Alligator mississippiensis: one gene and its partners. The protein of the gene in region 2 purifies or fractionates together with the protein of the main gene of each other region. This does not show direct contact. Links are inferred from orthologs where the notes say so. Each region holds a gene or a part of one and is shown on either strand. Other genes may lie near its edges. The genes, in order: NKAP, DHX8, CRNKL1 and PPIE.

Evidence for each region.
Region 1: the proteins of DHX8 (region 2) and NKAP purify together in Homo sapiens (co-immunoprecipitation; 3 studies listed by BioGRID and IntAct, with this or other methods). This does not show direct contact. The link is inferred for Alligator mississippiensis from reciprocal best matches to the Homo sapiens genes DHX8 and NKAP.
Region 3: the proteins of DHX8 (region 2) and CRNKL1 purify together in Homo sapiens (affinity purification with mass spectrometry; 3 studies listed by BioGRID and IntAct, counting the BioPlex papers as one, with this or other methods). This does not show direct contact. The link is inferred for Alligator mississippiensis from reciprocal best matches to the Homo sapiens genes DHX8 and CRNKL1.
Region 4: the proteins of DHX8 (region 2) and PPIE purify together in Homo sapiens (affinity purification with mass spectrometry; 3 studies listed by BioGRID and IntAct, counting the BioPlex papers as one, with this or other methods). This does not show direct contact. The link is inferred for Alligator mississippiensis from reciprocal best matches to the Homo sapiens genes DHX8 and PPIE.

The regions. Positions count from the first base shown.
Region 1 is NC_081831.1:72,523,312-72,530,404, forward strand, and holds the start of NKAP (NF-kappa-B-activating protein), read left to right. Parts: upstream 1-4,073; 5' UTR 4,074-4,101; coding exon 4,102-4,385; intron 4,386-5,133; coding exon 5,134-5,214; intron 5,215-5,751; coding exon 5,752-5,825; intron 5,826-6,010; coding exon 6,011-6,124; intron 6,125-7,093. UniProt on the Homo sapiens protein: Acts as a transcriptional repressor. Plays a role as a transcriptional corepressor of the Notch-mediated signaling required for T-cell development. Also involved in the TNF and IL-1 induced NF-kappa-B activation.
Region 2 is NC_081827.1:152,956,921-152,964,552, forward strand, and holds the start of DHX8 (ATP-dependent RNA helicase DHX8), read left to right. Parts: upstream 1-4,623; 5' UTR 4,624-4,664; coding exon 4,665-4,776; intron 4,777-6,410; coding exon 6,411-6,496; intron 6,497-7,123; coding exon 7,124-7,196; intron 7,197-7,627; coding exon 7,628-7,632.
Region 3 is NC_081824.1:229,712,460-229,719,671, reverse strand, and holds the start of CRNKL1 (crooked neck-like protein 1), read right to left. Parts: upstream 3,003-7,212; 5' UTR 2,945-3,002; coding exon 2,897-2,944; intron 1-2,896. UniProt on the Homo sapiens protein: Involved in pre-mRNA splicing process. As a component of the minor spliceosome, involved in the splicing of U12-type introns in pre-mRNAs.
Region 4 is NC_081829.1:4,837,336-4,845,271, reverse strand, and holds the start of PPIE (peptidyl-prolyl cis-trans isomerase E), read right to left. Parts: upstream 3,013-7,936; 5' UTR 2,951-3,012; coding exon 2,920-2,950; intron 2,761-2,919; exon of another isoform or gene 2,567-2,760; intron 2,486-2,566; exon of another isoform or gene 2,467-2,485; coding exon 2,368-2,466; intron 1,015-2,367; coding exon 971-1,014; intron 60-970; coding exon 33-59; intron 1-32. Other genes in the region: PABPC4 (polyadenylate-binding protein 4), read right to left, coding at 7,185-7,271, 7,358-7,488. UniProt on the Homo sapiens protein: Involved in pre-mRNA splicing as component of the spliceosome. Combines RNA-binding and PPIase activities.

The DNA of each region.
Region 1 (7,093 bases), on a different chromosome or scaffold from region 2:
TCTGTTTGCACCTTCCCAAATCTGAAAGTCCTCCCTTTCATCCTTGCCCGTAACTCTTTAATTTTTCGTTAAATCGAGGAGGCATTTTAAGATGCAGTTTACATATGAAGAATTGCTTGAAGAACTTTATGTTGTATTTAAAAAACAAACGTATATTGGGCGCCTTGCACAATATGGGGTGTTTGATGGACAAGAACTGGGATTCAGGTAATCTTGGAAGCAAGAAGATAAAGATGCAAAAGCAACCGTTAATTTATCGATAAATAAATGCTTCAAGAAAAAATAATTTTTGAGGGGAGTTCTAATTATCATTATAAAGTGCAAATGTAAAGAATCAAATTATACGGTCTCTCAGAAAGAAGGAAAAAATCCCCTACAATACAGTGATAAAAAGACGACACATCTACATGTGCCCCTACAGCGCCATTGTTACTGCCCCACCATTTAGTGCTTCCTTTTGGAAGTATTAAACGACGGTGCGAGAAAAGTCCATACCGTACGGTGCTGGCGGTGCACAGTTATTTTTAGCCGCTACGTTGCTGTAGCAACGCGCTATAGCAAGGGAGCATGTTGCTACAGCAACATAGCTGCAACATCACAGTTTGTGTCCGCCGACACTACATCGCCATACCGTGTTGCTATGGTGATGTAGCGTGTTGCTACGGCGACATAGCATCTTGTGTAGACACACCCAGAAAGTGTCAAATGAAGCCATCTTAAGAGCTGTTTTCTCCTAAAAGAACTCAACGGAGAATTATTAGGGAATGAAGAGCTCCCTTCAAGGCTTGATGGGTCAGGAAAGTTGGTAGAAAAAAATTGTAGTGATAAACATTTATAATTTAAAAGAATATAAAAAATGTGATAAGGTAACGAGACAGAAACAAACCCCCATGCCCATGTTGGGACCAAGTGACATTTCAGAGGTAGAACCCTTAGTAATAATCCAAGTCTGACAGCAGTCTTATCTCAGGAGCATATCTCAGGATACAAATATGGTATCCAGGGAAATATTTTGATTCTGAAAACACTAGCAGACAGTAAAGCACTGATTTCCATCTGCCACCTACTTCATGCCCACTACTGCAGTGTTTTACTTAACAGTCAACTTTTTATGATTGCAAACCATGATTCAACTCATTAAAGTCTATGGGTGGCTTTCTATTGACATTAATGGGAACAAGATCAGACCTACCAGCTTTTAATGTACAGAGTATAAAGATTATATACCTCATCTGTGTAAAAATGCTTTGAAGCGCTTTACAAATGTTGGCCAGCTAAGCATCTTTATCTTCTATTAGAGACTAGCCAGGAGCACTAGGTAACTGAGGTCTCACGGATTTGTAATGATCGTGAGGCATGACAATACTTTCAGCAATGACAGAGCTATCCCCACGTAGCCTCATAAAGACAGATAACACAAGACTGTCACTCACAGCACAGCTCTGCGATCCCTCCCTTAGAACAAGTCATTCTTACATGAGAATATATTTTTACCTATTTTAATATACGTTGTGATTAGATTTCCTGCCACTTCCAGATGCTGCCCATAACACGCACAATGGGTGTGGAAACTGGAACAGTTTTCCATCCATGAACTAGCTGTTGCATTTATGCCTTACTTAATTTAGATCTATGTAAAGTGGCGCATGCCTTACAGTAAGGAGTACCATTATGAAGTGATTCTTTAGACCTGATGTTTACTAGATGTTGGGACAAAGCAAAGACTCTTACCCCACACATGTTTCTTTAAAAACATGGAGTTTTTTCTGAAGAAAACAGGTTCCATAAAGATTTCTTCCCTAATGTTGTAAATGAAAGAATGCTAACTCCACAGGGCAAAGAACTGCTAAAATGTGATGTTTGTGACATTTTGGATTATGACTACATTACTGATGCCGAGTGTATGATGCTGCTGTTTTGTAAGGATTAAAATAATAAAGAGAAAGTTAAAAAGAATACCCACACCTTCCGTGGTTTTCCATCTAACTGTTAAATCTGGGCTTCTATGGATTAATGAAAACCTCAGGGAATTTTGTGCCAGTGGTTTTTGTGCTTCAGTGCTGCTGTTCTATACGACTGGGACTGGCTGAAAGCCTCTGGTAACCCCAGGAGTGTTTACACCATTTGCAACAGCACTTCCCTGCATCGTGTCTCCACCCCGATTGGGAAAGGCCCCATTAGGATCAACAATATAAATCAGCCTCTGCAAACCATTAAACACTGATGAGCAGTTATTCACACAATAATCAAACTAAAGCTAATTCAACTCCCCTTACAGTCTGGCCTTGACTTTTTTCCTGCAAACACCAACAATATTATTAGTCAATGCTATTTGTGATGGTGGGATTTCTGTAGTGCTGATACCTCCCTTAGAAACAGAGTCAGAAAAAAACATCAGATAGAAACCATTTTTGGTTACATCAGCTGGGTTTGGCTCAAAGTTGCTCTGGAGATGAAAGGCTCCACGCGCCTAATAACTCCCCTTAGCCATCCAGCTCTCTGAATGGCAAATATAGGAAATACAGTAAATTCATTTTTTAAAGCCAAAGGTGCTTAATAACCAGCCTAGCTGTGTGTCTGCAGTGTATAGGAACATGCAAATTACCATTTTTTTTGGTGGGGGTGTGACTGAAGGGAAGTGAAAGGAGAATTGTTGCACCTTGCACTCCCACGTGCAAGTAGGAAGATTCAAAGTAATTCTGATTTTTTGGGAAAGGGAATTGCAGGGCCATGAGCTGTCCACTGGAAAAGTGCTGTTTTCCCTCATTCTGAGGCCTGTTCTAGTTGTGGACAGCTCCACAGATCCCATGGAGCGGAGTACAGCTGGCACAAAAGGTCTCGCTCGGGCAGCTTTTATTTTAAGAGCAACTTGAGAGATTAGCATTTTGATTCTCAGCCCGACTTGGCCTCCTAGGGAGAGTCCGGTGCAACGTGCTGCTGCACGGAGGTGGTTACGTGCACAGCTGAAGTCAGGCGGTGTGGCACCTTCGGCGTGAACTGCTTCAGACAAGCACGAGCTTTTGTAGGCACGACCAACTTCGTCACGTGCAAGGACCGGGCTGGCGGACTGAAAAGATTTTAGGGGTGCACATAGGAGCAAACGGAAATGTTTCCACGTGAAACGTGCTTGGAGAAGGAATCGTTTCAGTCGTGACCGCGGGGTTGGGGGCGCCTACGTGTCACCCAGCTGCAACATCAGACGCGACGCGAGGGCGCGACGAGGGGCGCGGTGAAGCGAGGCCCCGCTCCGAGAGGCTGGAGCGGATCACAGACGGCACAGGGAAGCGGGGCTGGAAGGGACCTCCAGAGGTCACCTAGTCCAACCGCCCGCCCGAGACGGGACCAGCCGTCTCCAAACCATCCCGCTCACCCCGGCACCCGAGACGACCGCCAACCCTGACGCGACACGAGATGCGGCACCCCGGCCTGCCGCGGGGCCCGGGGCAGCCGACGCACGCTCAGGAGACCCCAGGCCGCAGAGGAGGGCAACCCCCCCACGCCCCCGGTCCGTACCAGGCTGACCAGGGGGCACAATCCTGACCCCAAACGTGGCATGGCTCCAGCGCTAAGCGGAGGGGCCGGACCCTGCGGCTCGGGGCCCAGCGGGAGCATGGGCCCAGCCTGCTCGGCGCCTCCAGCCTGGGGGTCCAAACCCCCTCACACAGGCGGGGGGCCCAGCCAGGCCCACACCCTGGGAAATCCCCAGCGCCCGCACAGGCCTCGCCGCCCCCTGGAGCCCCCGCCCGGGGAGGGGGGGGATGGGGTGCCCCCTCCTCATCGCCAGGGCAACGGGCGCCTCCTACCTGGGCCGTCGCCCCGCTGCGCGCTCATGCTGCCGCCGTCGCACGCGGGCCCGGGAGCGCGAGGCCGCCGCCGCACAAAGGAGCCGGCGCTGGGAACCCGCCGGGAGCGCCTTGTTGCGCGGCGGAGACGCCGCAGGGGAGCACCCGGAAGTGGAGCTCCCCGCCGGCCGGAAGGCTTTGGCGGTGACACCTGGGACGGCCGGAAATGGGAGAGCGGGGGTTCCGGTCCAAACCGGAAGTGGGCCTGCCGGACGGGTTTGCTGGTGCGCCACCCGGAAGTGCGCCCCGGGCGGCCGCCATGGCCCCGGCGTCGCGGTCCCGCAGCCCCGCCGCGTCCCCAGGTTCCCGGCGCCGGAGCAGCCACGGCCGCGGCTCCTCGCCCAGCCCCTCTCCGCCCCGCCACAGCCACGGCCACGGCCACGGCCGCCGCTCCCGCGAGGCTTCCAAGGCCCCCAGCCGCCGACAGGGCCGCAGCCGCAGCCGCTCCCGGCCCCCGGCCTCGGCTCACCACGGCCACCACCACGGCGGGAAGCTGTGGCCCGAGGACTACGAGAAGGAGAAGGAGGAGCTGCTGCGGCAGAGGCGAGCGCGGGCCCCGTCCCCTCCCCCGCCCGCCTTAAAAAGGGAGCCCCTGGGGAGGGAGGCTGCACACAGGAGCCCTCCAGGGACGTCACCCCATTAAAGCGAGTGTCCCGGGGGCGGGGGGACAAGGGAACGGTTTCCTTGAGCAGCGCGTGCCAGAGAGGAGCCCGCAGAGGTGACGAGCGCACGAACGTGCAGCCAGTCTCGGCTTGTCCTCCCCGGGGCCGCGCTCCTGGTCTCGCAAGGCGCAAAGCTTTCTTGGGGACCCACGCGCGTGATAAAGCCACTTCTGCGATTTGTTTTGCACTGGATTTGTTTTGCGTTGTAATAAATAGCGTGTCTGAAATGACTCATTTGGACGATTGCTCCAAATTCCTGAACGGAGCTGTTGTGGTGTGACCAAAACGCCCGGTTTATTAGGCTGCACAAAAAAACGGGCGTGTGCCTCCTTCTAGGTCTGCCTTGGTTTTCAAGACAGATCGGCCTGTTTTTGTACTGAAGACAGACCGACCCCTTTGAGGACTGAGCAAAACAAAATTCAGTTGAGTCCTGTTCTTAGATGTAGTGTTTGGCTGTGGAATTAAAAAACAACGTGAAGTGTTTCCATTGAAGAAAGGGTGTCCCCTCATCATGTCTGGCCTGGGAGATTAGAAATGCTAGCATGCAGAGATACAAACAACTCCGCTTTTGAATGTACATTTGGGAAGAATAGTACGTGGGAATTTAATGCTGATGTGGATCTTCACAGGAGACTAAATGAGAGAGAGAGAATTGGAGAACTGGGAGCACCTGAAATCTGGGGGCTTTCACCAAAGGTTCCTGACCCAGAGTAAGTAACATTGTCTTGTGGTTGCTCCCCCTTCTTTCTAGGACCCTTGTGTGTAGTAGTGTCCCCAAATAAAGCTATTAATAATTTAATTACTTCAGTATATTTATAATTTCTATTGTGTATCTTATGTCAAGCTAGAATAAAACTTTACTTACTATGTCAGTTAAAAACATTTAAGTATTTAGTTGACCTAATTCTACTCACTTTGGTTTTCTGTTTGTTTTGCTTTTTTAAGGAAGTCCCGTTACACACATCAAAAGATCACTAGACTGATATGATCAGTTCATGATATTTCATATAATCCCGAAACACCCCTTGGAGAAGACGCTCATATGTTGTCAGTCAGATTAGGATTCTTTAGTAGTGTTTTTCTGAAAGTGACTTGTATATTTTAAATTGGCTGCTTAATGGTTTAATTCATGACTGACTCTGACTCAGTCTCTGAATCTATACACATTTGGTCATGTGCTTGCTTTTGGATAATTATATGATCTTTGCTTTAGATCATAATAAGTTAAACTCTTTGTTTCTTCTCAGTTCTGATGAGCATACTCCAGTGGAAGATGAGGAGGCAAAATCTAAAAGCAGCTCTTCAGATTCCAGCTCAGAAGGTATTTAATTTTTACTGTCAAAATAGTTTACATATTAATAGAACTTCTCAGGCTAGTGCCTGATCGTGTTATTTGCAGAGAAGTTCATTGACTTCTTGTAGATTCGGAAGCAAGCATGATACCAAGATCAAGAAGGATTTATGAAGCTAGACTGTGCTCATCTGGTTTGTAACGCTCTCTTTCAGAAGAGAAAAAGAAGAAGAAGAAAAAGAAAAAGAAGAAAAAATCATCAAAAAGGAAACGCAAAAAGCATTCTGAGGACAGTGACAGCGAGTCCGACTCTGAGCTGAACTCCAGTGGTAAGAAAACAGCTTCTCTTGGTGTGTATCATCTGAAACCTTCTCCTGTATGTTTGCAGTCATGGTCAGTAATGCGCCTGCTTTTTGTTTGGTATCTTCCTGATGTCCTGAGGTTTTGTTTCAGTTGCTTAATCCGTGTTGTGAAGAATAACCTGTAGGAGATTTTGGTAATTGTGTCCATGTCTGCTTTCAACCTTAACTACTTCGTGTTCTGTTTAAGAATCAAGTGTAACATTTTCCTAGTCCCTCTTCCTCTTCTGATTTCCTTACTGCCTCTTACATGTGGAAAAGCCTGTTTTTGCACTAAGCGATCACTCAAATCTTTCCTTAATACACCTGTAATATAGAGTCTTTCAACTTATTACAGCAGTCTCCTAGCGCAGAAGGATCATAGCTCCAGCTTCAATGCATGAGGTTTGGCCATCAGGGAATGATACCCTGGCTGTAATGTAGGCCATTAATTTTCAGGTCAAGTGTGGTAGGAACTGGAGCAGACTGTGTGATACTACATGTACCTGCTTAAGCATTATTTCTAGGGGTGCCCCGATAAAGATTTTTTGGTCAATACCAATGGCTGATTATTAACTAGCCCTATTGGCCAATACTGATCCGATAGCCAATGCACAGCCCAGCAGCTTGAAGAGCAGTGTCCGGCTGGTAAGTCTGTGGGGAGGAAGGTGTCTGTGGGAAGGAAGGGATGTGGAGGGGCCAGATTGAGGCTGCCACAGTGAAGGAGGGAATGGGGCTGGAACAGGGGCAGGTGCTGTGTAGCCAGGGTAGGGCAAAGCCACAGGCCGGGGGTGCAGGGTGGGGAGAGAGGGGGTGGTTCTCACTACTGTGCACACCCCTGGGGGAGGTATGTGCTCCCCAGATTTGTGCATGGGGTGAGGGTGAGCTGCCCGTTGCAGACTTGGGGTCAGGGGATGCATCAGGCTCTTCCCGGCAGAGGGGTTGGGCTGGGGCTGCACT
Region 2 (7,632 bases):
CATTGCACCCTGGCAGGAATAGATTCCAGAACGATACAAACACTAAAGCCACAGGACAGCAAACCCAGCGTCTCTGCTGCAATGTTGTTCTACATCCCCTTCAGACACTGCAGGGCTCCTTTGGCTACATTAGCATTTTTGGAATCTAAGCTCAACCAGAGGCTGTTTCTGTCTGCATCCAATTTGCATACTTATGTACTGTATCTCCATTCAAAGGTAATTTATTGTCCCAACCCCTTGGGGTGACAAGGTGTTTACTATCTGTTCAGCTCAACTGCTCTGGAGTTCAGGCAAATCAAGGCTATGGATTACTTGTCCATCTGCCTCACCCTCTAGCCATCAACATGAGACACTCTGGCTGCTGTATTATCATATTACGTGAAGCTGGATATCAATGCATGTAAATAATTCAATGCCTCCAAGAATAGAGTAGCGATTAATGAAAGGGTACTGGCTGTTGTTTGGGAGAGAGGGGATCAGCTGTTGCTCACTTTCTGTCATGATAATGACTTTCTTTATAAAGTCAGGAAAATTATACTGTCCTTTGAAGTCTAATGAGCCTTACTCAGCCATGGATATATGTACAATGGGAGGGGAGCTGCAAGCCCACAGCCCCTTTACAGCTGTCCTTAGACCAGATCAACCCCAACTTCTGCGGCTCAGTTAAACTTGGTGACGTACAGTGCACATAGCGTGCATATAGCTCTGGGAGGGGGAACCCACTAATGATTTCTTACTTCAGGAAGAAGAGGGCAATGGAAACAGAAATATATGCAGGAGTCTTATCCTCAGGTTAGGGTCATGTTAAGGTACAAAGAAAGTCTCAGTGAAAAAAAAATCTTACATTGTGGAATTTAAGGGTATCTGCATTTTTACTGTATTCACTACTCTCCCCAGTACGCTGCCCTCTTACCGCCCCAACCCTTTGTTAACTCGGAATAGATTCCTTTTTCATGTAACAGGGCTAGACATGAATCCTCTAGCAAAAGACAAAACAGGGAAGTAAAATTTCCCTGCACTGAGTTCTGGACTATGCAGCTAGCTAGTTTAAAGCTAGCTTTGCCTCTCTATGCTGCATTGCAGATGGTAGTATAGACATATCTATAATGTCCTAGTCTCTCCTCTTCTGCCTCAAATGCAATAGGAGACATACTTTTTTTTCTTTTAAACTGCTATTCAACTACACAGGAATGCAATGGAATCACTGCTAGGCCCACTCTTTTTTCCTGGGGGAATAATAGCCATCTTTAAAGCTGTATCATTTCAATTAAACCTCATGCATGCTAAGTAAGAACAGTTTAATACTTTCTCCTCCTCTTATACCTTGCAGGACTCTGCAGAGCTACCATAGTTTCATAGTTTCATAGTTGGTAGGGTCAGAAGGGACCTGAGCAGATCATCAAGTCCAACCCCCTGCCATGGGCAGGAAAGAATGCTGGGGTCAAATGACCCCAGCGAGGTGATTATCTAGCCTCTTTTTGAAGACCTTCACAGTAGGAGCGAGGGGTTGCTATAGCTACACTACAAATCTATTTAAGGGCTTTCTTTAACATCCATCACTAAACGGCATAAAGCATTTAACAGCAATCCTTACGGGCTCATGAGTTAAGCAGTTATACCTATAACCCTCTGAAAGTGGTAAGTATGCTCAGAACAAAATTCACGTGTTGTAAGGATTCTACACTTTATCTCTACTTTTTGTTATTTCTCACATTCCTTCCTATTTTGGATACTGGAGTAAAAGGTGTATCATTTATCTAGAGATCTTTCCACTGTCGCATTAGTTGCTGCTTTGTGGTGGGTTTGCACTCTACTTTATGCCTTCCAGTTTCAGGGTGCAGACACATGGCACGTTTACTCTGGTATAGTTGCAATTTACTCCAGAGGAAAAGTGGAACAGGTGCAGCATGCACAGCACTTACTCTGAAGGAAATATTGTTCTGTAGTGTAAAGTTGCTCCTGAGAAAATCAGAGCTAAATTTATTTCAGAGGAAGTGACGTAGGCATACATGCCATGTGGGTCCCTCCCATGGTCTGTTTCAAACCAGAGTAACCATTTGTTCAGTGCAAAATGGTTCCCACAGCACTTAATAGCCAGGTACTGTAATAGAGTCAGGGTGGATCCAAGGGAAGAGGTGCAGTTGCATCCCCCTTTGATTCCTGCTCCACCTAAAGTTTAAAACTAACTGTCTGGCAGTGGCAGCAGCATTTCTATTCAGGCAGTGGTGAGGATATCACTTGACTTTGTGGCTCATTATAATCTACCTAACTCCTTCTAAACTCCTTATTTTAGTTATTAACACCACTCTCTCCTTTGTGATGGTCTTAATGTTTCACTGATCAATCAAGGCAGGCAACGTTCTTTGGGTAGGTGTGATATCTTTTATTAGACGGACTGGGTAGTTGGAAAAAAGTTCTTTGCAAGCTTTTGGGCGCAATCACCCTTCTTCAGGCATTAGGGATTCTCTGCTGTTCTGAGACTCCAAGGAAGGAAAGAAGCTAAAACTGTGATAGCTTCACCCAACAAGGACACTTCCCCAGTGAGATAGATCATGTTTTTGAAAGAGTCACCCGGATACCATGGAAAGATTTGGTGCAGTAAAAAAAAGAAAATCACCACAAGCCGCACACCATTAGTTATGACCCTTCTCTGGAACCTACACAGAAAATCCTCAAGCAACTGCAAACCATAAGAAGCAGACCTAATTCTTAAAGAGATTTTTCCAGAACCACCTAGCCTTTAAAAAAGCACCAAACCTCACTAACCTCATCACAGAAGCAAACTCCTTATGACCCAAACCACACTGAATGGATCCAGACCATGCCAGGACAAGAAATGCAAAACCTACCAACACATCTCCACCACTCCCACAACAGAACCATCACCATTCCTGGATCTTACACCTGCACCTCCAGAAATGTTATGTTTTATATCTCATCCAGTACACCAAATGCCCTGATGGAAAAATATGTAGGAGAAACCAAATAACAACTGCACACCAGAATGAATGCACACTGTAAATTTATCAAAGGCAAGAACACCCAGTTACCTGTGGGGGCACACTTCTCACAAGACAATAACTCCTCCCTCCCTGATCTCTCAGTTCTAATCCTCAAAGGGAACTTACAAAACACCTTCTGTAGACGAGCCTACGAACTTCACTTCATAAATCCACTGGATACAAAAAATCATGGACTCAATACAGACATTGGTTTTATGACACATTACAACCTGCCAGACCTGACCTTTTGTGCTTTTCTTTCTCCTCCACTCCCCCCTCTCCCCTACTTTTCTACCCTTTGTCTTCCCAATTTCCAGCTATTTACTTTTTCATATTCATCCTCTTTTCCACCTTGGAAAACTATTAGAGTCTCCCATACTTACCTTTGGCTTTTTTTTGCTGTCATTTTCTCCCCTCCCTTTCCTGCTCTACCTTTTGTTTTCCTAATTTCCACCTATTTCATTCTCACTGATATCCTGTCACACTTTTAGCTTCTCTTCTTCTTTGGAGTCTTAGAACAGCAGAGACTCCCTATGCCTGAAGAAGGGTGATCGCATCTGAAAGCTTGCAAAAAACTTTTTTCCAACTACCCAGTTGATCTAATAAAAGATATCACATCTACCCAAAGAACTTTGCCTACCTATGTCCTGAGACCAACATGGCTACCCCCAAAAACCTACTAATCAATCCATGAACACTGAGTGCGCCCAGAGGCTGGAGTGGCATGGTGAGCTCCTGCAGTCTGCAACAGTGCTGTTGGGGGCAGGAGCATGGTGGTTGCAAGTGGGGAGCTCCTGCAGGCAGCCACTGCACTGTCGGTGGCGGGGGGGACCACCCGCAGACACTGCTGGCAGTGTTGGTGGCAAGCTGCAACTGCCCGCAGGTGACTTTCTGCAGGGGGTGCACCGCCATGCTCAGGGGGTGCATGTGCACCCGCATGCACCCCCTATGCATCACCAATGAATCAACCTATCCTTTCTTTTGCACCTCTTTTGTTAGCTGCTTCTGATAACGTAGCTTGTATTTCACAGCCCCCCGCCCAAGACTGTACCTAACAACATGAATTCAGGTGTGGAGATAACTTCCCACAAAGCACTGGATGCATGCTCAAGACGCTCAAGGAGGCCAGGTCTCATTTGCTGAATTTGAAAAAAAAAAATAGTTTCATTTCGATGACAACAGGAGTGATGAAGCAGCAGCTTTTGATTATTTTTCCTCGTTTGTTGCGCTTTTATACGTAAAGCACACACCCACACAGCCCAATAAAGCTGCATTTGTCTTTGCTTCAACTGAGCCGAGGCACAGCCATCCTGGGCTCCGAGCGAAGCTCGTCGTTTCTTTTTCCGCGGAGGAAAGAAAACGTGTGCTGCGCTGCGCTCCGTGAGGAGGCACCTCACCATCTGCACCCCCTTTCCCACCTGCCAGGTCCGTCCGGGGCCCGGGGAGCAGGCCGCCGGGCGCGCTCTGCGGGATGGCCGCCAGGGGGAGCTCCGAGCCAGGGTGTCTGGAGCACCCGGCGTCGCTGTGGCATGGCGGTGGCTGTGGGAAGCGCAGCGGCGAAGGCGCCGGCACAACAGGGGGCGCTCTGGCCCCGCCGCCTCCTCTCTGTGGCTCCCCGGGACCCGGAAGTGCCGGGCGGCGGGCCGGGCCGGGCCGGCGGCCATGGGCGACCTGGTGGGCGCCGAGGAGCTCGCGAAGCTCGAGTACCTGTCGCTGGTGTCCAAGGTGTGCACGGAGCTGGACAACCACCTCGGCATCAACGACAAGGACCTGGGTGAGCCGCGCGGAGCCGGGTCTGTTGTGTCGTCCCCCCCCCCCCCGCCCGGGCCGTCGTTTGCGGGCGCAGCTGGCCCGGCTCCGCGTTCCCCTTGCTGGGATCTGCTTCCCCCGCACAGGCTCCCCCACCTCCCCCAGTGCCTGTGGCTTGACAAGGGACCCCGCCTCCCTCAGCCCTCGTCGGCCCTCTGCCCCTTTCCTGACCGGTCGCCTTCCTTTTCAAGCCCCTTTGCGGCTGGGTCCTTTCCTCCCTGCGGCCCATGCGCTGCTGCCAAGAGATCAGTTGTGCTGATCAGGCAGCCCAGCCCCTCTCCCCCCCTCGCCCTCACTGCCTGCTCGGCACATTTCCAAGTGCTTCCAGACCCTTCCCCGTGTTGCCCCTGCACGCTGGAGAGGAGCTCTTTGTAAATGTGCACCAAAAAGTGCCTCCTTTGCTGCCAGGCCTAACACCGTGTTTATGTGGGTCAGGCAGGGGCTGTGCCGCGATCACTGCCTGTCGTATTGGTCAGTAGCGTCTCACTGTTTTCTGGCATGCCTTCACCTCTGGCTACTGTTTTTTGTCATATATCTTTGACTGGACCTGAGCACAGCAGAGTCCTGCTGCATGGTGGGGCTTCCCAGGCCCTGTTGCACTATAGATACTCAATAGTAATTATTATTCTTGGAGCTCAAGCACTTGGTGCTACGTTTTGGCCTCAGGTCCGAGCCATTGCTCAGTTTTCTCTCCGTAGAGCAGAGGGGATGTGGTCAGTACTTTCTATAGCCTGCACGTGACTAAAAGTAAAGTAAAAGTTGTAAAGTTGGGTTGCCTCTTCAACTACCCAATTTTACTTTTACATGAGCTTTCATCCTTAGAAGTTGGAATTGAGCACTTATCATGGTCCTGTGCAAGAAAACCACCATGAGTCCTGACCATATCTTTGGGGTTTTAATAGAACCTGGTGAGAGCTCAGCTCAACACTGCTGCTATGGCAGGTTTGCCAAGTCAGGTTTTTCTTCAAGTGATATACTCATGTGAAGTAGTGCCGCTGCAGGTCCTGTCTTTTGGAGAGCATCTGCCATCTTTCCCTGCTGGAAGGATCATTATGGCTCTTGTAGGAAATCATTTTTTTGTTCCTAGTAGAGTGAATTCTCATAGCTCATACCTTCCTTCCTGGATTATTTGTGAACCCTTTTGTAATTGAAGAGCACCATCTCCAGGCAGCTTTGTCAGTGTGTCACTAGAAGCTAAGGAGAGCCTGTGCTGCACCTTTCCCCTCCATGGTTTGATGTTGTTTAGTGACTGTACTTATAAGCTCTAGTCATGGCCTAGGATACCATTGTGTTCAGCCCTATACAGCACAGAAGAAAAAGATGGTTTTTGCCTCAGAGTGTTTACATGCTTACTTAGAAAATGAGTTCTCTCTCACCTAGATGTGATTCCTCCAGGTCTGGCTTCTCAAAATTAAACCAGAGATAGTGGCAAGACAAAAAGCCTGCCCTGCTGAAGGCTATGTTCCACCTTTCTGATGAATAGATGGGAGATTTCACTATTTTGGGTTGCCAAGCCAGCTATCTTTCGTCACAATGGAACATGTTTGAATCTGCTTCCATTAATTTTGTTTAATTTACTCTACTGCTTTTCCTTCACAGCGGAATTTGTGATAAATCTTGCTGAGAAAAACACTACATTTGACACATTTAAAGCTGTCCTTTTAAAGAATGGCGCCGAGTTCACAGTAAGTGAGATTTAGACCCTGTTGCATGTCCTTTCTTTATCCTGAGACTCTTTGTAAAAGCCAGTTTCTATTTAAAAAAAGTTACAAAGCTGAAGTGTTTGTTAATTAACATGCGACTGTTTTTACTGAAAAGTAGTTTGTGTATCTCGGCTTGCAAACACTTCTATCCAGCACAGGTTTTTTTTATTAACAATATTTGATATGATTTATATGAAGCACGCTGTAATCTTGAAGACTCATTTGGACTATTTGGTGTCTCATTGGTGAGCACATGCAGTGCAGGAAAATCAACTGGTGTGAAAACAAATATTTATTAAAATTTGTTTATGGTGTTCCAATATCATGCTGAAAGAGTAAAAAAAACAGTGATATGCGGGAGAGTAATTTAAATGGAATTTCATAACTGTTTTTACAATCAAGACTTTTTTTTGTGTTTCTGTACAAAAGAACTACACTTTTTATGGTCTGCACGTGAATTCCTGGACTACCCAACTTTACTTCTACATGAGTTTTCATCTTTAGAAGTTGAAATTGAGCACTTGTCACTGTTTTATAGTCTGTGTTAGTTTGCAAGAATTCCACAACGAGTTCTGAAAATGTCTTTGGGGTTGTTGTTGAATTTTTCAGGACTCCCTTGTTAGTAATTTGTTACGCCTCATACAGACGATGCGTCCCCCAGCCAAGCCATCTACAAGCAAAGGTAAGTGCCATCTAGCTGTTCTCAACAGAATAGAAAACTGTTTAATTCTTTAATTATTTGTTGACTAATCTGGATTTGACTGGGATAGCCTTCCTCATAGTTTTGTGGATGTGTTCCATATATCCTGTTGTTACAGCAGAAATTTGTGTGATTTGAGGTGTTAAGACAGAGCTTCTAGGCTACTGAGAGATTTCTTTTATTAAATGCAGGATTAAGAAAGTTATAATCTTTAATTAATTAGGCTGTCTTTTGTGGGAGATTATGTAGTTATCTTTTAATGTAAATATTACAAAATTTTCAGTAAAGCTAACATTTAGCACAAAGCTGAAGTTTATCCCTTTTTCAGAAATGACAAAGACAATTATTTTAGCCAAGTAATAAAAATAAACTTCTAACAAATTTTATGTATGCTTCTTTTGTTCTTAATCCAGAGGCA
Region 3 (7,212 bases), on a different chromosome or scaffold from region 2:
TTAGTATCTGATCATAATATTAGCAATAGACTAGACCAGGAATTGGCAGCCTACAGGCTGGATCCAGCCTGCAAAGAGGTCTGGATCTGGCCTGTGGTGGCATGTAGGATCTACAGCACGCAACAGCTTGCCCTGACACCTTCCCCTTCTCTGCCCTGCACCATGCTGCTGATCCCCTCCATAATGCCCCTTTCTGCAGCTCTCATGCCTGTTAAAACAGCCAGTGCTTACTCTCACTGCCAAATTCACCCCTCCTCACTGATGTTTCAGACAGCAAATCTGCAGCACTGGAAGATGCAGGTAAGTGGAGGCAGCAGCAGGGACACTATGGGAAGGAACAGTGCAGCAGGGATTGGGAGCAGCCAGATTGCAAGCACCAGTCCACTGTTTGTAAAAGGTCGCCAACCCTTGGGCTAGGTAACTAATTATAATGCCGTGGCAGTAACACTGCCCCTACTGGTAGCCTGGAGGATTCCATTTTCTTATTTCCATTCCACTACATCAGGTGTGTCAAACACACCGCTCAGGGGCCAGACTGAGCCCCTGGCGCCCACTGGACTACTGGAGTGGCCTGCCACAGAATTCAGGGTGGACATGGCAATTGGCAGCAGGAGGACAAGGAGAATGCTGGTCCCTGCCGCATGTCCTGTGCTGGAGCTACCACCACATGTGGGATGGGACATGTGACAACTGTTCCAGCACCAGACTGGAGCTGCTATTATGTGCTTTAGGTCAGAGCTCAGAACTGTGACCACTGCAATTTTTTTTTTTTTTTTGAAGGAAAAATTTTTGTGTTCCAGGTTAAATTAGCCAGATCAGTTCCAAATCCCTGGAATCATTCAAAAACTTTATGTGGCCCTATTACTGGCAAGTATCCTCCACCAAGTCTGGGGCTTCAGATACTTCCAAATCCTTTGGTAGGCATCCTACGTGCAGGCACAAGCCCGGAAGCTTGGGGTTCAGATGCCCCCATGTTTCACTTGCTCCCAGCCATATGGACGCAGAAGCAAGCTACAGAAGAGTCTCCCATGAAGGCGATGTGTAGCTGTGATCCTCCCACTGGAAGCTGGTCAGTGGGAAGCTAATTATGAGCCTCCCATAGGGAGTCCTGTCTGCAAGCAGATAGGGGTGCATCCTCCACGACACAAAGCTGTAGCCAAGGCTTGCTCCAAGAGCGACCACTGTTGCTGTAGTTTCTTCATATCCTGGGATGCATCTGGCTTGCAAAGAGCCCTGTGGTCTGGATATGACCTGGGGCACAAGGTAAGTCTGATACCCCTGTTTACACTATTTAAAGCAAAAAATAAAATCTGCATTTGAGTGACTTAGGTACAGCCATGCAAAGGCTCCAATCCTGCACTGAGCTCCACACAGGCAGCTCCTGTGCACAGGCCCCTGCTTAAGTGCACCAGCCTCTACGCAGGCTACGGTGGAGCGCCCATGACATCGCTGGCTCCCAAGCAAGTCTGCCCAATTGGGATGCAGGGCAGGAGCCTGGCCCGTGCTTGTCACCTGGTGCCACAGCAAAGGCAGAAGCTGCCAATGGGGCCCATGCTGCACGTTACATACATTACACAACAAAGCAGTCAATTGCACAATAAATTCAGCCCAAAGTCGTTATCACAGCAAAAAAAGGACTGTCCGGCTTTAAGAAGAGGTAGCCGCTTACAATGTGAGTGCTCGAAAATGTGCAACCACTTGACAGCTGATTTCTACCTGGCTTTCATTTGAACCTGTGGCAGGACACTGGGAGCTGGAGCGGCAGCAGCAGAGGCCATGACTCCCATGGGGACCTCTCTGGCCCCAAGGCCGGCCTGACTTGTGCCTTTTAGTGACCAAACCCCAAAGCTGATGTAGAAGAGTTTACTGAGAGGCAGTAGCATGATTTATTAGCCCGAAGAAGCCGTGGCTGAGAGACCCAGCCCTGGCCTAGCTGTGACAAATCTGAGGGTCTTAAATTACCAGGTCTTAAATATGAAATTATCGTATTGGAAGCTCAAAATTATTGTACGTGTTTAAAAACCTATTGTACACAGAAAAATATGGAAATAAGTATGCAAATAAATGTGATTTACTCTATACTGCTCCTGGTAACTTTCCAGGGAGTGAATGAGAACTGGGTTAGAGTCGGAGCATTTCTTTATTTTGAGGGAAGCCATCACAAGTAAGTGCTGATAGCTCAATTGATATGATCTGAATCACTTCTTGGCCTCTTGTGGGCTAAGATCAAGCAGCCTTTTGCAAGGACAGCATCTGAATCGCAAGACCTCCAGGCTTGAGCCTGCACGCAGGACACCTGCCAATAGATTTGGGAGTCCACAAAGTCCCAACATGAGAGGCTGGCATGGAGGATGCTACCACCATACATAGTGTTTACAACTATTGAGCTCTACCTGCTCAACCCACACTGTTTTGGGCATGACTGAGTTCTGCCCAATTGATATGATACAGAGCTGATTTGACCTGGAACATTAAATATATTAATAAAAAAACAACAACCCAAAGGTCAGTTGTCTCCCCGAGAGCAACTTGGGTTTTGCATCAAGGCGCTTCCTCAAAAATGAGTGTGCAGTGTGAGCACATTGACTGTGATTGATGGTGCACCCTACAAGGGTTGAATGAAGGTACAAATCCCATCACCGTGGAACTCCTGGCAGCGGGGGGGGGGGGGGGGAAGGAGGCGCTGAGACGGCCGCTTGCGTCACGGCACCCTCCCCACCCCGGTGCTCCAAGCTGCGCCCCCCTCGCGGCAACACGCACTTGGTAGGTCCCGGCCGCGGGCCCGGGCCCTGCCCCTCCCACCACCCCGCCGGGCTGCGCACCCCGCAGGAGCGGGGGGGGGGGGGAGGGGCAGGTCACGGACACTCTATCCCCCCACAGCACCGCTCGCGCGCACCTTCGCCACTTTGGGGATCCGCTGCTTGCCGGCCGCCGTAGACGCCATGTTACCGCCTCTCCGGGCCCGAGAGGCCTCAGCCCTGACCTTTCACCTCCGCCCCGCGCGCATGCGCGGAGTCGCCCGGGTCGTTGCCGCGGTAACGGCGGCGGCGCGTCTCCCGCGGCTGATCCGTTGCTGCGGCTGCGACCGCTCCTGCGTCCTCCCGGCGCCGCCGCTCGCCTCGGCTCCTGCAGGGCGCCCCGCCCCTGCCCGCGCCGCCCCAGCAGCCCGAGGGCCGGGCACTCCGATCTGCTCCATCCTGCCGAGGTGAGTGACGCTGTGGGCCGCGAGGATAGCAGCGGTCTCCCCTGGGCTCGCGCCACGAACTGCATCCCCCAGCATGCCGCGCGGGCCGGAACTACCACACCCAGCATGCCGCGCGGCACTCCTGCCGCCCAACATTTCCTCCCTCTCCCCTCGGTCGTCCCTTGTGCGACCCCTCGCGCCCGCCCGGGGCACTGCGGGGCGGGGTGATGGGGCCCTCCCTGGGGCGGTGCTGCCTAGCCATTTCTGGCTTCCCCAGCCGCAGCCTCCTCCCCTGTTGCAGGTCTGCGCGGCCAGGCGGGTGCTTGCCATGTAGGACTTGGGAGAGGCAGCTTGCCCGATGAGCCTGAAGTCAGGCAGGGAGAAGTACACTTTATAGCCCAGCTGAGCTGCCCTCAGCAAGAGTTTGCTCTCTCATGTGCTCACTTGAAAAAAAGGCATCAAATGGGAAGATGTTAGGAAGAATTTTCTCACTAGGAGGGTGGTGAAGCACAGGAACAGGTTACCCAGAGAGGTGGTGGAAGCTCCATCCTTGGAGGTTTTGAAGACCTGGCTAGACAAAGCCCTGACTGGAATGATCTAGTTGGGGATGATCCTGCTTTGAGAAGACTAGACTAGATGACCTCCTGAGATCCCTCCTAACCGTCATTTTCTTTGATTCTACAATAGCCCTGCATGTGGGCCACCCTACAGATATAGTGCCCTCACATGTAAAAGTGCAGGGATGCATGGCTAAGGAGAGGGGAATCACAGTTGTGGTGGGGCAGGGAGACCCACAGCATTACTAGAGGCCCCTGCCTCTTGCTCCTGATGCCAAGTTAGGAGAGGTGCCAGGATTACCCACCACCCTTGTGGAGTCTGAGCCTCAGCAGCATTGCCTTCCTGGGAACTCTGAAACAGCTTGCCTGCTACTGCTTTAAGAGCAACAGATGAGGCAGGCTGAGCACAAGTGGTGACAGCAGCAGCTCAGCTGGGATGGTGTAGGAGTCCCAGCATGGGTAAGGCTGCTGCGCCCCAGCTCTCCTTTTAGAACTTTGGCCCCCTGTCCCCCAACTGTCAGAGCCTGTGCACCAACCCCTGCCTTCCTCCATGCTCCCCCGTAGAGTTTCCCCCCAGCTGCCAACTTTGTCATGCCGCTGAGGCGGCCTCTTAAGGAATGTAAGAAGTGGGGATTTCCCTTTGCTTATTAGCAAATCTGGGTCTGCCTGTCAGCCATCCAAGGAGGTTGCACCTCTGCCCTCAGCAGCATTGTAACTGCTGACATTTTTCTTACACGGTCACTTGTTTGCCCAAGTGAGCATAATTGGTTCTGCAGATGCATTCTTGCTAGTCTTCCTGTAATGGGAAACAAGTCCATGTGAGCCTGTGTTAGTGAATAAGGGATGTGACATTAGTAGCCTTTAGAGGATGTGTACAGTGAACGAGTGATGGTAGAGGCCTTTATTTAGAGGGTCAAAGTCTCTGACCAGCTGGAAGAGAAGATACGGATAAAAGGCCTGGGAGAGAACCACTGCCCTCAATCTCATAGATTTTCAGGGTCAGAAGGGGTGCCAGGCAGGCAGTATCTCCATGGAGACCTGCCAAGGACCCCTGCAGGCAGGGCATGTTATGTTTTGGTGGTTGGCATGGGGCTGCGGGCAGGCGGGGAGCAGCGTCCAGGAACAGGATGGGTGGCTGGGGCCAGGGCTGAGATTGTAGGGTGGTAACAGCATGGGGCAGAGCCATGATCCACTTCTTAAGTGGTCCTCCAGCCCAAATAATTGCCTACCCCTGATTTAGTTGGTAAGGTCTAGTTCTACACAATAAAACCCATGACTGTGACTTGGATACTGGGTGGTTATAGGGGCCTTCCCACAAGTATGAGCATCTAGGATTGGGACCTGCGATGCAATATGGTATTGGGAAGTTGGGATGAGGTAGGGGCTCCTGTCTCTATAAAGTGTATAGAAATTATAAGATGAGATGTGTCAGGACCCAGGGCAGCGGCCAGCAGCTCTCTCTGACTCTCACCCGGGCAGATAAGGGTCCAGGGCCTTAGAAGGCTGTCAGGTGGGTATTTGTGAAGCTTGGAGTGGAATTAATTAGGCGGACGCTTATCGGTTGTAAAGCAAGATTATTTATTTATGCCATCAAGGTGGTGAATAGCGGAGGTCAGAGATACTTGGTTAGTTATAGCTTAAGGTTCGTAGGTCATAGGTCGGTCTGTATAAGAGTTCGTTGGTCGGGCAGATAAACGGAGAAAAAATCGGGCCGGCAGGTCATTGATTTACGTCTGATAAGGTCGAGACGGGGGAGACTGACAAGTGATCAATTTGTCAGTTATTTTTACGCATACATTTAGAGGTTTTTTAGGTGTGTGTGCGGAGGTCTCCCGTTCTTCACGGAAGTGAAGACGGGTTTTATTTGTATATTAGCCAATTGTTTTTTGTCACGTCATAAATTTAATGAGAATCGCCAATTGTATAGTGGTTTTTATTAGGGTGTTTGTCATAGGGACACTCCCCTGTCATTCCGACCAATTGTAATGATTTATATAAAGCAAAGAAGGCAAAAGTTTTTATCTCTGTTAGTGGCGCAGTAATAAATTTCTTTTTGCATGCGCAGCAAAAAAGCGGTTACTATCATTATTGTTAACCCTTAGTTAACCTAGTGTAGAAAAAAACTGTTTTGAATGGTTTTACTTGTTTGTGACATGGGCACTATTTAATTTGGTTGTGACATGTCCCCTTGTCCATGGCACAGCAAGTCACATCATGTTTATATATAGACCATTTTGTTTATCATTGTTAGTGTTTGGCAAGCGAGTGTATATAAAAGCAAAAAGCGTGGTTAACTTAGTTTTGAGATATTGTAAAATCCAACAACTAAAACACACAAATATAACAATGGCTATTATGATCCATGGTAAACACAAGATAATCAAAGATGCCGACACTTGAATTAACTTAAACGCAGTAAACTGTTATTTTTGATTTTATGTAATTTTTTTTAATTCGATTTTTTTAAGGTAACTGAGAGTGAGGTATCAGATTAATGCCCCCTATACGGAGGGTTTTTAAAATTGTGGCTTATTATATTTGAGTTAAATCGTAGCTCTGAAAACACCAATTTTTTGTATTGTCATTAGCGGCTTTTTTTTATTGTCACCTCTCTTCTCAAACCATTTCTTTTCCTCTTCTTTGAATGTATAGGTTCCTTTAGAACCTTGACTATTTGTCCCCTTTTATCATCATCTCCCTCATCTCTTTTTTTACGTTTTTTTAATCAATGTTTTTGTCTATATCCGACTTTTTTGTGACATCCCCCAAACCTTCAGACTATCAATGTTGGGGTTTTTTTAATAATTTAGAGCTTTTTATTCAAAACATTATGACTTGGTTTTATTGCGTAAAGTCTCAAACAGGCTTTAAAACAAAACAAACAAGTATGTATAAGATCATTAACAGGAAAAGAAAAACCATTAAATGAGTCATTAGTTATGTCTTTGGCCTAAAATGACAAAAGGTTGAGGACCGAGTTGGAGGTTTTGAAGTCAGCTCCGTTCGCCGAAGAAACTGTTGGTAACAGCAGGAATAGAGCGACGACCCTGCTTGCAACATATGAGCAGGGGCGGTCATTGTGTCGTCGACTCAGGTGTGCTGCAGATTGGTGTTCGGTGATTTTTGTGATCGGGCAGTCACAGATTGTCTCTTCGTCACCGCTGGGCCTGTAAGGGAACAAAATAAACGAACAGACAAACAAACAAAGAAAACTAAAAAATAATAAAATTGTCTTTTGTATATCTACGAGCATAATGTCGTAGTGGTTGGAATAGTTTATAGATGCCCCCTTCGAGTAGTTGTTTGTTGGGGCAGGCTGCGGTGTTATCCAGAGTGCGCTGTTAGGCGTGGGTGCCTCCGGGGCCCGGACCAGTTGGCGGGATCGGTCGAGGTTGGTAGCCTAGTATATGTGTCAGTTGTCATTGTCCCGCATCTTCTAGGATGTGCAGCCGTTGTTTGGTAAGCGTGAAG
Region 4 (7,936 bases), on a different chromosome or scaffold from region 2:
CAGTCAGGATCTGACAGGAAAAAAGCCCTTACCATGTTGTCAATAGCTGCTGCCGCATCCTAAGGCAAAAACAAGAAAGAATATTTTACTGCTAATTCAGCCCTGACGTCCCTCTAACCCTGTAGAAAAGGTACTTAGCACCTGGCCTGAAGTTTGGGTTTCATTTCACTCCACTGTCCACCTTTGGATCAATTTTTACCCACAGGTTTTCCTTTCTCCCCAGCACTAGCCCTGTAGCTTCCCGCTGCATCCGGCTAGGACCTTCTTAGTTATTTTTAGCCACAAGGTCTGGCAGCTGTGCAGCTTCCTCAATCCAGGTTTTTTTCCCGATCTGCATAAGATTCTGGTCATTTATCATGCTAATTTGGGGTCGGGGGCAGATCTTGGGAAGGGAGTATTGGACCAGGAGCAAAGGGCAGTTCATAGGGCCCATTAACCTAAAACATCGCTGTTAGCACAAGGGACTGAACTAGCCCTGGAGGAAAGCCAACAATGTGAACCATGGAGAAGCTTCTGAAGAAGCTGTACTCCAGTCCGAAGGTTGAAAAACTGCAGAAAAAAATAAAAAGAGAATCAAAGAGAAGTTGGGCTGGAAGGGACCTCCTGAGGTCATCTAGTCCAGTCCTCTGCTTGAAGCAGGATCAGCCCTATCCAAGCCATCCTATTCAAATCCATGGTCCAACCTCTTAGCAAAACTACAGTCAGCCCCAACACAACACCCAAGAGGTAACCCCCTAATCTGTGGAAGACCTCATAACAGTGGGACCAGAGAAGCAGAACAGAAATTCCACAGAGTATCATATAGAGCCAATAACACTAAAGAGTTAGTCATAAAGTGTAGAATCCTATTTCCACTTCAACCATAAAACTCCCATTGGATTCAACTGACACAGGATCAGGTAAAAAAAAAAAAAATAAAAAAAAATAAAGAAGAGATTTCAAACTGTGTTAAAATGTGCCCTTTTCTCACCTCAGCCAGCTCAAACTCAATGAAAGCAAATCCTCGGTGCTTCTCTGTGGAGAGACAATGAGCAGTTACCTTCACAGTATTACCAGGAAAACTTTGCCCCCATGAAAGTCAAAGCAGGAGAGGTCTGGTGCATTAGTTGGGCTACCAAGGGGAATCCACGTCTATGCTGCTGCCTCCATCTGAGAGTTTAGATTCTGTTTCAGAGACTTTCTTTCTTACCTGCTGGTACAAAGCTCCACTAACATCAAAGGACTCTATTATTTCTATCCTGCGGGAACATTAAACTACTCTTTATTATGATGTTAATGATGCTAAAATATCCAGCTAATTAATTCTCCAGTAATGAATTTTAACATTTATTTGTCCCACAGGGGGGGAAATACCACAAACAGGAAATCTTAAATGCAATCCTGAAATAAAGTCCCAGCACAGAGCAATCTGCAGCTATACAGAGCCTCATTGAAGTCAATTCTGTGCAGATGAAATTCAGTGCAGGGTCTAGGACCTGGCTTACAAATGATGCGAGGCATTGTTAAGCCCTGTGGGTTGCTAATTAGAAAATAAATGAATGCACACCATTTAAAAAAAACAAACATGAAAAACACACTTGGTTAATCTACTTGGGAAGCTGTAATCTAGTTGTAATTGTTCATGCAAACATTTCAGAAAGTCTTATAGGTTTGGCCCAGCAAAGGAGCTTTAGCAGTAACATCTGCTAGCAAATCTTTACTAAAAGGCAGGGAGTGGATGCAGGGGTGTGAGGGTGTTAAGCTCAGGGTGGGTTTTCATGATTCAGATACAGGCAACCCCCGCTTGGTGCTCTTAATTGATTCCTGAAAAACCGAGCGTTAAGCAAAACTGAAAGTTTTGGACGACCCAAGATAGCGACCGCAAGCGTTTTTAATGACTCCAGATGGCAACCGCAATTGCTGAGTGCCAAGTGAAACCAGATATCAATTTTAAATGAGCATTATAGCGATAGCGTCAAGCAGAAGTTGCCTGTACTGCTCTGAAACCTCTGAAATGGGTGGAGTTTGCTGGAAACCTCAAGCCTGTGAGGTTTCCCTCCTGCTCCCAAGCCTGCACGTGCATCCTGCAAATGCAGACCGTTTTAAGTGACAATAACGCCGATGCAGCAGAAAGATGCTGGGGTGCGATGTTTCAAAAGTGTTAGCGCCGGTATTACCATCGTACAGGGCTTCGTTTGTCCTTTTAGGAGTAATCAAACTCGCTCCCCAGGCTCGAGCTTCCAAGACTTCCTGGGACGCCGTGAACCCCAGAGCGAGCGCCTTGCGAAGGACATCCGACACTCCGCCGGGACACCGTAATATTACTCCTGAGGGAGACCCCGGCGCCCCGTGTGAAACGAGCCGGGCCGAAAGCCGGAGCCCACTCACCGGTTTCGTAGTCCAGCGGTATCTGGATGTCGGTGATGTCTCCGAAGGGGATGAAAGCCGCGTGGAGAACCTTCTCGTCCACCTCCTCGGCCAGGCCGCCTGCAAACCAGAGCGAGCACTTTAGCGGCGCGACGTGTATAATCACGAACGTTTCCCGGCGCCGAAGAGCAAGGGAGGCCGCCCCGCCAGCATCCCCTACCTGCTGCTTTCGTTCACGTCTCGTGGTGCCAAAGGCTGTTTTTAGGCTTGAATATGAATCCACTCCCCAGGGCCCACGAGACAGAGACAGAGACAGAGACAGAGACAGAGAGAGAGAGAGAGAGAGAGAGAGAGAGAGAGAGAGAGAGAGAGAGAGAGAGTGTGTGTGTGTGTGTGTGTGGGGGGGGGGGGGGGAGGCGCAGCCCCCTCACAACACGGATTTCCAAGCGCCTCTTTGAGGGCCCGTCGCAGGCACGAGTCCTGCTGCCTTCTGGCCTCGCACCGATGTTCACTCCAATATTCACAACTGATCCCACACGGCCCCCCACCCCGCCCCGGGGTCCCGCTCCTCACCCACGTACAGCACCCGCTTGGTGGCCGCCATCTTCGCTCCCAGCAGCCCCCGCGCGGCACCCCGGGACGTTGGGCGGCCCCGCCCCCGCGCAGCGCCGGGCGTCGGCCAAGGGCGCGTGCGCGCTTGCGTCACGCGGCAGGTGCGCCCCCCTCCCCGTGCGCATGCGTGCGTCTATACACACCCACGTGTAGGACAGGGGAGGTGTGCGCGACACGCGCGCACTCGCCCCTTCCGCGTCTGCACGTACGTTGTATAGCACCGGCTTTTGGGAGATTCGGCTCGTGTGTACACACACTACATATACACCATGCACACAATGAAGCTCACAAAAGCTTGTGCCAAACTATGTAAATATACAATATAGGTGTGTATCCACACCCACTGCAACAAGCTGTTGTGCTATATATATGGTACATAGATAACCAAAGGATGTGTGTGCACATGCACGTGTGGTGTATTTAATATATATGCATACACAGCTGAAGCTCACATTAGTTAGAAGTATAGACTCACCCAGTGTGTGCACACCTAGTATACATAATGACATCATCTATACATACATATGTAGCTGAGGTGTAGGTTGTAGCGGTGTTGGTCTAAGGACATAGGCAGACAAGGTTCCTTGGGTGAATTTGATATCTTTTATTAGACCAACCCAAATGGTTGGAGAATAGTTATTAAGCAAGCTTTTGGGTTCAAAAACCCTTCATCAGGCTAAAGCTTCAGCAGTTGGCATGTTCTTCCTGGATGGAATACGTAGCTGACACTCAAACGTTTGTGCTTGTGTGTGTGTCTATATACACATATACAGATGATGTCATTATGTATACTAGGTGTGCACACACTGGATGAGTCTATACTTCTATCATATAATGTGCATCTAGGAGGTAAGGATACACAACACACACCATAGTACAAACTTGTGAGCTTCAGCTGTGTGCGCTACCCCCTCCCCTTCCTTCAGTCTATAAAGTATAAATCTCATCTGCCCTGCCTTCTACCACTGTTATTATACCTAACTACCCATTGCTGAAAGGATAATACAATTCCCCCCCATCACCAGTTTTCTCTCACCTGTAGGTTAAAAATCTCTGACTCCAAAAATTATCCATATTTTTTTCATTGAGTTGATGTTTTGTGAGACCTGCGGCATAAACTACCTGGTACGGCTAACTAGGAGTTTGAGCAGCATCTAATGAATTGAACTTCAGCCCATGAAAGTTTGTGCTGCATATTGCATCTTATTTAGCTGGTCTGGAAGGGGCGTAGATCTACCCTGCTTTCTGCCTGCCTTCAGACCAATACAGCTAACTGCCTCTAACCAGGAGTCTGACAGTAGTTTCTCTGACGAGCTTCTGCGTAAGGCAGCTGCACAGCAGTTTGCTGAGGCATGGTTCGGATTAATCCCAAATTAAGCAAAGCAGCTAGGGCAAATTTATGAAGTGCAGTTGGAAAGAAAAAAAAATGCATTAGAAGTGGTCATCTCAAAGCAGCAGGTCCAAGGCACAAGCTGGATTTCTCAGGATATCTACCACTAGATTGCTCAGTTATCTAGGACACAGTATTGAAACTGAAACCTTCCTTCCTTGATTTTCAGCTTACCAACAGGAGACCCAAGGCACTGCCTTGCTGTGCTTCTGCTCCGCAAGCTTGTTCTATTCTTGGGCTTGGACACAGACCATTAAGTACCAGATTTCTAAACAGGTTTCTTGCATATTTTAACACCATGGTTTGCTCGTAACAGTGCAGCAGACAGGCAAAATGGCACATCAGTCTTGCATTTATACCCCCAAAATCAAAAGAACCATTTGCACTTTTCTAGCACCACTCATCCAATGGTCTCAAATGGTCTATAAACATGAATTAAACCGCTGCTCCCCTAAGCAGGCACCCTTATTTTACAGCGTTAACTGGTACGTGCTCAGCATTTCAATGGTTTTCCTTTAGTAAAATCTTCAAGTCATTGGACAGTCTCAATTCCTCCCTTCTGCCTTGATCTGGGCTGTGCTTGTGCTCTCCTGTATTCATGTTTATACCACACTCCATGCCAAAGGCTCACCCCAACGTCACAAAGCACACGCTAGTTCTACTGTCACTGAAAGGCAGCCATCTATCTCTAAGGTGCAGCATACACTTACCAGCGCAACACTACATTTGTGACTATTAAAAGGAAATGACAAGGTTCTAGGGACATATAGGGGTTGAAATACCACACAGAGATGAAGAAGAAATACAAAAGCTTAACATCAACAAAAACAAGAAGGAACTGTCAGATTGAAAGGAAGAGACGAAAAGAACACAAGACTTCTATGCACATTGACTTGGGTCAAGGGAGCACTGTTGATGGCCGATAAATACCTGTCTTCATGTATATTTCAGAGTATTGGGTGCATCTAACTGTTAAATTGGTTAGTTAAGTTGGATTTCTTAATAAAGTATTAAAAAGTGGCAGTATCCAATTAAAAGTGTATCTCAGTTCCTCCTACACAGTATGTAGTCATGCAGAATAAAAAACTACCAAAATCACTTCATCTTGTAGACTGCTGTGGGATTTTTAAATGAAAAGTGATCAATCAAACCCTGTTTCTGTGCTTAATCTGAAAAATGTTGCCCAAGACCACCTCAGAGGGCAGGGGTCCACTTAAATAAACTATCAGTTACAACCACCTTAGAGTTTCTTTGAAGATCCAAAACAGGGCCCAGTTTGAAGTCATAATTTAAAGTGGAGGTTTGGCCTAGCCACTTGTTAGCTTAAACAGAATAATAACAGGATTAAACATTTAAAACCACAATTCAATCAGACAGTAATTACCTAACAGTTTACTTCTGACCAGCAGAATAAATCCAGGATGGCTAAGCACACCGTGGGGAAGAGACCCATTTAGTGAAAGTTTTTATTCCTTTATTGATAAACACTTTCCAGATTTTGCAAACTGGATTGTTCAGTTAAAACCAAAACCACAAAAAACTTTCAATCAGAAATCCTTAATGTCCTGCTTAGAAAAGACAAAGGTTAACTCTGTCCTGGCCACAAAGGAAAAGCTTGCAAACTTAATCCTGGTCTTGGAAATCTAAAGCTTCATGGAATTGATTTTTTTTAAATAAGATTTTAAAGGTTAATTTACAAAATGCAATATGGTTATTTGGATATGGTGCATGGTGCGGAGATCTGCAGGACAGTTAAGAGTATCTTCAAACATCTTGAGCTGATGTCTATGAAGGGGCTATTTGGCTTCTTTGCATCCTGTGCGGGGAAAAAAGGTTAGAAAATTAGTTTGCTTTTTTTCCTGCCCCCATACAGGCATCTTGGTTTAGCGCAGACTGACAGTAATTTAAACATGACCAGCCCATTAAAAATTCCCAGATAACTTCTTATTCCTCTCACCGTGTAGGTTTCTATCTACAGTTGCTGATATTATCCACCTCTCCATAACATTATGCTGAAGGTGGAAATATGAAAACTTTGTGATGAGGGAATAATTATTGTTGCAATGTCAAATTATTGACAAGCAATGGCCAAGCTGCATACCGCACACTTTTACAACACGTATGCATGGTGTGTTTTCATTTTAAGCCAGTGCCTTCTAGAATGGAAGATTTCCCATAATCCTTTACTGCCAGTGCTCTGGCAGCAGTCCTGTAGAAAATGCCTTGAAATTCCTGGTAACTCCACACACATCCATATTAAAGAACTCATAAATGAAACAGTTGTAGAAAAGCATATGAACATCCAGTCCTAGTCTAAAGATACCCATCTAAAAAGGCATGGAAAAAAGAAAATCAGAGATTCTATAAGAATCACTCGGCAACTAGCAAAACCAAGAACCACACAGCAAGTCATGCCAAGCTTGCCAAGTCATGGTGTGCACTTCGGTGCTATTCTTGTCTACCTCAGGGTAACTGTCAGGACAAGACATGGACATTAGCAGCATACCTGGGTTTGGACAAAAATTGCTCGAGGCTGGTCTCATTTTGATGAATTCTATTCCCCGACACAGGTGAATGATTTAAAGGGCTTTATGAATTCCATGTCAGCATATTTTAATCTTCCAAACATGTCTGCTTGCTGTAAGGAACTACCTTCTTTTTTATGTGCTTATTTCTTCAAGATTAAAAGTGGAAGTTTCTATTTACAAGACGTAGTCTGGCATCCGATGCCATTATACCTAACCCCACTTCTTGGCAGTTTATATCCTCCCAAACTATATTCCAGTGAATCTAAGGTTAAGAAGTTCTAACTAACACACTCACCAGTCTTCCTGGTTTAAGAGGTAGCAGCAACCACGCCCACCTTCTGGGCAGCTTCTTTCTTGGCTTGGTGAGCCTGCAACACAGCAACAGCCTCCTCCACCTAGGGAAGACAAATTGCCAGGTAAGATCCATCATCTTTAACAAAATCACTCAATCCAAACTACCTTGAGAAGTGGGAGAATTTACCTTTGACCGGAGGGATTCTGGAGACTCCAGCATGTGCAGTAGCTCTGAATTGTCAATCTCTAGCAGCATTCCTGTGATCTTCCCCGCAAGGCTGGGGTGCATAGCTTGAATCAGGGGGAACAAGCGTTCTCCTAGGAAAGTAAAGTTCAAATGGTCTTTGCAGGGTGCTCTCACAGGTCCTTTGCAGCAAGTACAGCTAACAAGGGAAGCAGATAAGCACCTATCGAAGTTTTAAACTAGAGCAAACATTAGCTTTACATTTCCATGGCATCTAATTTCCATGCCCCACCCCTGATCTTTTTTTCACTACTAGTTTTTAGGGAACACTAGATGTTTTCAAGTCTAAGTCAGAATGCCCAACTACCATCATTTTTAAGCATCACTGTATCTACACCCAAACTACTGCGTGTAGGGGCTAGCAAAACACCCCTTATTTTCACAAAAAGGAGCCTCATGCATCCCAGTTGCTTGAGACTTTGTGCTTTAAAAAGCTCTGAAGTCAAATATGATAATGAGAAATGTGTTCAGCTCCCTCGCTGTGCAGAAGGCAGCAGGACTGACTTCCGAATCATCACTTAC